Macaca fascicularis: one gene and its partner. The protein of the gene in region 2 purifies or fractionates together with the protein of the main gene of each other region. This does not show direct contact. Links are inferred from orthologs where the notes say so. Each region holds a gene or a part of one and is shown on either strand. Other genes may lie near its edges. The genes, in order: NOP10 and NAF1.

Region 1 (3,519 bases), on a different chromosome or scaffold from region 2:
AATCACATCTGTCTGTGCTAATTTAAGTTATATCTGCTTCTGGAATCTAGAATTTTTGATATCATAGAAAATAAAGATTGCAGAATTAAAATACAGACTCCACAAAACAATTTTAAAATCCATAGCACTAGGCCGGCCAAGGTGGCTCAAGGTGTAGTCTCAAGGTGGGATTGTAATCTCAAGGTGGGATTACAATCCCAGCACTTTGGGAGGCTGAGGCAGGAGAATTGCTTGAACCTGGGAGACGGAGGTTGTAGTCATCCACCACTGCATTCCAGCCTGGACAACAGAGTGAGACTGTCTTAAAAAAAAAAAAAAGCCCACCACTAAATCAATGAGTTCAAAGATAAGTTAATAAGGAGAAAAATCAGACTAAACAGGTTAAGTAACTTTCTCAAAGTTATACAAAAAGGAAATATTGGTCTTCTTTCAATTCACTGCCTTCTCTCTATAATATACCTATTACTTTTTCAAGTACTCTTCCATTTTTAATCAAAATGTTATTTCAAGGGATGAGAAATTACGTGACAACAGGGGTATTTTTCAGTGAATGCTGACAGCTGTGAAAGTCTTAATCTTTCTTCCCCAATACCCTCCTACCACTAACAGCACATGACCACTCTTGCTACAGGACTGAAGTTTTTCTTCCAAGTCGTATTGTTGCAACTCTCTGGAGTACTCTCGTCCATCATCTCCCTCCCTTTAAAACAATACTACCAATCCTTTCCTCCAACAACACAAAATAAGAGCTTTTCAAATCATTTTATCTTTAATAATCTGGTAGTAACTTAAAATACGAAAAAAAAAGTCAAACGTGTTCCCTTTATGGGTGATGCCACCATGACTGCCTCACACAAGCATGCTCAATCACCAGGATGAGATTGGATGCCACAGAGTATGGCTGGCAAAAAGGCATCAGGGCTCACAGACTGAGGAGTTTGGTTACGGAGTCTCCGAGGGGTAACAGGCCGCAGAATAGACATCAGTTTAAGGGGCCTTCAGAGGACAGGGCGCGGTTGCTGGGTCATGAGCACCTTGAAGCGTTTCTTGATGGTGATTCGGTGTCGAGAGTATTTGTCATCTGGGGAGAACCGAGCAGGATGGGCTGAGCAGGTCTGTTGTCCCATCGGGTCAAATTTCTGCTCCGGGAATAGAGAATGAATGTCAGTACAGGAGTGATGGGGTGGGGACAGCGCGAAAAAGGGCAAACATGAAAACAGAAGATGCAATGATCAGCTCAAAAAGTTGTACAAATAAATAGAGAAATACAAAACTTAAAAAGGCTGGGCGCGGTGGCTCACGCCTGTAATCCCAGCACTTTGGGAGGCCGAGGCAGGAGGATGGCTTGAGGTCAGAAGTTTGAGACCAGCCTGGGCAATATGGCGAAACCTCGTCTCTACAACAAACAAACAAAACCAACCAACCAAACAAAAAAACCCTAAACCAAAAATTAGCCAGGTGTGGTGGCGCACGCCTGTAGTCCCAGCTACTCGGGAGGCTGAGGCAGGAAGATTGTTTGAGCCCAGGAGGCGGAGGTTGCAGTGAGCCGAGGCACTACAGCCTAGGCAACAAAGCGAGTCCCTGTCTTAAAAAAAAAAAAAAAAAGAAAAAAAAGAAAAGTGAGTGCAATGGCGCTATCCGGGTTTACTGCAAGCTCCCCCTCCCGGGTTTAAGCGATTCTCCTGTCTCAGCCTCCCAGGTAGCTGGGAAAACAGGCGCACGCCGCCACGCCCGGCTAATTTTTTGTATTTTAGTAGAAACGTAGTTTCACCGTGTTGCCCAGAATAGTCTCTAACTCCTGAGCTAAGGTAATCCACACGCCTCGGCCTCCCAAAGTGCTAGGATTACAGGCGTGAGCCACTGCGCCCGGCCAATTTTTTTTTTTAAATAAAAAACTCGTCGCGCGCTCCCGGTTCTCCCCCACCTCGGTTCTGGACTTTCTGGTTCCCTCCACCCAGCTAGGTAACTCCGTGTATGGCCTCACCCATTCCTCCCATCTACATTTCTCGCCATGCCTATTTACAACCTGTTTTCTCTCCTCACCTTCAGCGTATAGACCCGATCTCCCTCCTCGTTGAGGTAATACTGGAGAAACATGACTGCTCGTAAGCCAGAGGTCCCAATTCGCTCCGCTGCTCCGTCTGCAGGGGTCCGCCCGACCGCGTCACGTGTTCGTCAATTTCCTTCCTGCATAGCCGGAAGTCTCTCTCCTGGCACGCCGGAAAATGTAGTCAATTTTTGCCTTATTTTCAGCTAGCCAGAAGGGGGCGCACGAGGGCAGGGCTTGGCTTGGGGGGCCACACTTGCAACTTTGCAGGCTAAAACACGTGGAGTGTGCCTACTGTGTGCTAGGTACACGGCGCTAGAGGGGGGTAGGGATGGATGTGGATAGAACATTGACGTATAGAAGCTTGTCTTTATCTCAAGATACATACCCATTTCAGGAGCAGTGAGTTTCCAGTGCCTGAAGAAACAAGGGCTCCAGGATTCAGAGCCCCTTTGCCCTAGGGAAGAAGGAAGAGGTTTTCTTCCCTCCCCTCTTTTACATCCAGTTTCCCTGCTCCATTTCAAAACGTTGGCGGTAAAGAATGCATGTTGAGTATCAATATTCCGTAAAGCGAAAATAGCGTAAAGTTATTTTATGAAACGAAGTATGTTTCAGCGGTCGAACCAAGATTTAAACTTAGGTCCCTACCGCAAATTCAGCGCTCTTTCTTACAGTGGTGAGTAGCTAATAATAGCGTAATAAAGTGCACCTTCTAGGAGATTTTACAATTTTTTAAAGAATATAGAAGTTCTCCTTATTCGTTTAAAGAAATGAAAATGAGAACCAAAATATAATTACAAAGATCATCATTACGCCTTATTTATAATGACAAAAGCGTTGGCATATATGTTGTGTAACCAGAAAAACCTGCAAGGTTTTTTTTTTTTTAGAATATGGTTTGGCCGGGCGCGTTGGCTCACGCCTGTAATCTCAACACTTTGGGAAGCTGAGGCGGGCGGATCACAAGGTCAAGAGTTCGAGACCAGCCTGGCCAATCTGGCGAAACCCCGTCTCTACTAAAAATACAGAAAAAATTAGCTGAGTGTGGTGGTGGGCGCCTGTAGTCCCAGCCACTTCAGAGGCTGAGGCAGGAGAGTCATTTGAGCCGGGAAGGCAGAGGTTGCAGCGAGCTGAGATAGCGCCACTGCACACCAGCCTGGGTGACAGAGTGGCACTCCGTCTGAAAAAAAGAATATGGTTTGTGACCGGGTGCAGTAGCTCAGGCCTGTAATCCCAGCACTTTGAGAGGCCGAGACAGGTGGATCACAAGGTCAGGAGTTCAAGACCAGCCTGGCCAATATGGTGAAACCCCGTCTTTACTAATAAAAATACAAAAATTAGCGGGACGTGCTGGCGGTCACCTGTAGTCCCAGCTACTCGGGAGGCTGAGGCAGGAGAATCGCTTGAACCCGGGAGGCGGAGGTTGCAGTGAGCTGAGATCACGCCACTGGTCTCCAGCTTGGGTGACAGAG
Region 2 (3,824 bases):
AAAAAAGCTCAGAAGTTCAAGGTTACAGTGAGCTATGATTGTAACACTGCATTCTAGCCTGGGCAACAGAGTAAGAAGATCTCAAAAAACAGACAAAGAAAAAAAAAAGAAAAAAAAACCCCTCAGCAAGACATTTGTTGATGTAGATAAGATTCTAAAATTTACACTGAAAGGTAAAGGACCTAGAATACCGATTATAATTTTGAAAAAGAAAAATAAAGTAGGAGTTATCACTCTACGCAATTTCAAGACTAACCTCACATTCCATACAAAATTTAATTCAAAATGAATCACAAGTGTACAATTTAAAACAGACTACAAAACTTTTAGGGAAAAAAAACAGAAGAAAATCATTAGGATCTAAAGCTAAGCAGGAAGTTATCAGATTCCATAAACAAAATTGATAGTTTTCCTCAAAACTAAAAAACTTTGGTCTTGCAAAAGGCCCTCTTAAAAGAGGGAAAAGACTACAGACTAGACAAATCATGAACAAACCACATATTTGACAGAAAGCGAGCATCTAAAATACACATTTTTAAATTCTCGTAACTAAACAGTAAAAATTCAGAAATACAATTTAAAAGTGGCAAAAGATAATGAACTGACATATCACTGAAGATAGAGACGGTAAATGAGCACATGGAAAGATGTTCAATGCCATTAGCCATTAGGAAAATGCAAATTAAAACCACAATTATATTTGCACTACAAACCTAGCAAAATGGCCAAAATTAAAAAGAGTGATAACACCAAATGCGGGAGAAAATGCAAAGAAATTGTCACTCATCCATTGCTGATAAAAATGTAAAATGGGGGCCGGGCGCGGTGGCTCACGCCTGTAATCCCAGCACTTTGGGAGGCCGAGGCGGGCGGATCACAAGGTCAGGAGATCAAGACCATCCTGGCGAACACGGTGAAACCCCGTCTCTACTAAAAATACAAAAAAATTAGCCGGGCGTGGTGGCGGGCACCTGTAGTCCCAGCTTCTAGGGAGGCTGAGGCAGGAGAATGGCGTGAACCTGGGAGGCAGTGGAGCTTGCAGCGAGCCAAGATCGCGCCACTGCACTCCAGCCTGGGCGACAAAGCGAGACTCTGTCTCAAAAAAAAAAAAAAAAAAAAAAAAAAAAAAAAAAAAAAAAAGTAAAATGGTACAGCCATGCTGAAAAACAATATGGCAATTTCTTAGGAAACTAAACATACAATGCAACTATTATACAACCAAGCTATTGTACTCTTGGGCATTTCTTCCAGAAAAATAAAAATCTGTTTTCACAAAAAAACTGTACATAAATATTTATAGCTGCTTTATTCCTAATAACCCCAAAATGGAAACAACCTAGATGTCCTTCAGTGGATGAATGGTTAGGTAATCTGGTAAATTCATGCCATGAAATGTTACTCTGTAATGAAGAGGAACAAACTATTATTGATACATGCAGTAATGTGGGTGGATGCACAGATTTTTTTTTTTTTTATACTTTAAGTTCTAGGGTACACATGCACAACGTGCAGGTTTGTTACATATGTATACATGTGCCATGTTGGTGTGCTGCACCCATTAACTCCTCATTTACATTAGGTATATCTCCTAATGCTATCCCTCCCCTGGTCCCCTCCCCACAATATAGGCCCCGGTGTGTGATGTTCCCCTTCCTGTGTCCAAGTGATCTCATTGTTCCATTCCCACTCATTGTTCTCACTATGAGTGAGAACATGCGGTGTTCGGTTTTCTGTTCTTGTGATAGTTTGCTGAGAATGATGGTTTCCAGCAGACGCACAGATATTATGCTCAGTGGCAAAAGCCTTTCCCTAAGCATACTATATTGTATAACTTCACTTATATAATTTTCTGGATATGACAAAATATATGAAAATGGAGAATGGATTAATGTTGCCATGAGTAAAGGAGGGGCTGAGTGGTAAGGACGTGGCTGTGACTATAAAAAGGCAACTGGGTAGCTCTCTGGTGATGGAAATGTTGTATAGCTTCATTGTATCCTGTCGATACCCTGGCTGGGATAGTGTTCCATATATAGTTATGCAAGATGTTGCAACTGGGGGAAATTGAATAAAGGGCATACAACAACACCTCTCCTATTATTTTTACAACTGTATGTGAATCTACGGTTATCTCAGAAAGTTTAACTTTTTAAAAAAGGTAAAGGGAATGCATGTTTATAAATAAGATACTGTGATTTAGGGGTTCATCAAGTACTTGATCATGGAAGCAAACAGGTATCTTAAGAAAAAAGTGCTGACAAGCACAAGTAACAAAGTTTAGTCTGTCTGTTACCTCAGGAAGCCATTTTTACTGCTTAAGTTCATAAAACTACCACACCTCCTGCTATGTAAGGGCTCTAAATGTTAGCAGGATGCTAGGAGGTAAACAGAGAAAACCTAGATGTTTCCCTTGGTTTTATTATTGATAAACTTATATAGATGCAAATGAAGATAAAAAAACGACTATATATATTGTATTCACTCACCTGGCTCATTAAATTCAGATTTGAGTTTTTTCCGGCCTTGAATCTGAGATTTTTTCCTCTGTTTGGCTTCTTTTTCTTTTTCATCATCACTGAAATCTAAGGCCTTGCAGAGAAAAGTATATAGTAAGTTTATGTTACATGGATTTGCCAATTCAATAGTACATACTTGGAGGTGAAGAAAACAAGCCTATTACTAATCATTGACTAAAAAAAGTTGCCTTTTTGATACTTAATATTTTCTATATCTGAATTAGACATGGTAGAAAAATATTTTTTGATAAATGCTTAATGACTCTTTAATTAACACAGGTCAGTAATCAACCTTCAGATATGAGTCTGACTTCCAGTTTAGACTTAAGATTCATCATAGTATCAGATGCAAAAGAGTGCCAAAGGTAAGAGTATCAAGGACTAAGTAAATTATATACATTATCAGAGCCAATAAAAAATGGAAGACAATGTTCCATAATTCATTCATTCAAAATACACATCCAAGCACTGTTCTAAACATTTCACAGGTTCATTCTTTACAGGTTTACCATCTTATTTTTTAAATATAATTTTAAGTATATAGCAAGAACTATAAATAAATGAGGGAAAATAAGGGTACACAAATCATGAGGAAGCTATTTAGATAGGACCATAGGCAAAGGCTTTTTTTTTTTTTTTTTTTTTTTGGCGCAGTGGCACGATCTCAGCTCACTGCAACCTCTGACTCCCAAGTTCAAGCGATTCTCCTGCCTCAGTCTCCTGAGTAGCTGGGGTTACAGACGCACGCCAACCTGACCAACATGGCAAAGGCTTTTATAAGCAGATACATGAATGATCCAACTCCTAAGAGGAAATTATTTAAAAATTAAAGGTGGTAAAACTCATATGCAACTAAGAATTAGGATTCATTCTTATAATCTACCGAGGAAACCAAGATTTATGAGCTATATATCTTATGACTGCCATGGTATCTACATTCCTACGTTCAGGCATTTTATTATTCTATTATTAACACCAGAAAACTTTTATTATGTTTCATACAAAAAATATATGAAAGCAGGCCCACTATGTATGGATGGATACACATTTAAAAAGAAGAAATAAAATGTATATGAAAGTCTTTGTATGTAATTTTCAGTATGGCTTCACTGGAATACATTCTAGATCAAATCCTCCATCAACAGGAATCCATACACTTCAGATTCTGAAATCTAATTTGAAAACATGAAATAATTGTATGCCTTCTAATGCACTATTTCTCATTACTGATCTTAAAGGGATAAAATTTTAAAACTCAGGTTAAATCTGGTATCTGACAGACACTAGAAAGTATGGAGATCAGATAGA

The links.
Region 1: the proteins of NAF1 (region 2) and NOP10 purify together in Homo sapiens (co-immunoprecipitation; 6 studies listed by BioGRID and IntAct, with this or other methods). This does not show direct contact. The link is inferred for Macaca fascicularis from reciprocal best matches to the Homo sapiens genes NAF1 and NOP10.

Annotation. Positions count from the first base shown.
Region 1 is NC_088381.1:10,628,458-10,631,976, forward strand, and holds NOP10 (H/ACA ribonucleoprotein complex subunit 3), read right to left. Parts: upstream 2,178-3,519; 5' UTR 2,098-2,177; coding exon 2,044-2,097; intron 1,140-2,043; coding exon 999-1,139; 3' UTR 751-998; downstream 1-750. UniProt on the Homo sapiens protein: Required for ribosome biogenesis and telomere maintenance. Part of the H/ACA small nucleolar ribonucleoprotein (H/ACA snoRNP) complex, which catalyzes pseudouridylation of rRNA.
Region 2 is NC_088379.1:168,081,898-168,085,721, forward strand, and holds part of NAF1 (H/ACA ribonucleoprotein complex non-core subunit NAF1), read right to left. Parts: intron 2,590-3,824; coding exon 2,487-2,589; intron 1-2,486. UniProt on the Homo sapiens protein: RNA-binding protein required for the maturation of box H/ACA snoRNPs complex and ribosome biogenesis.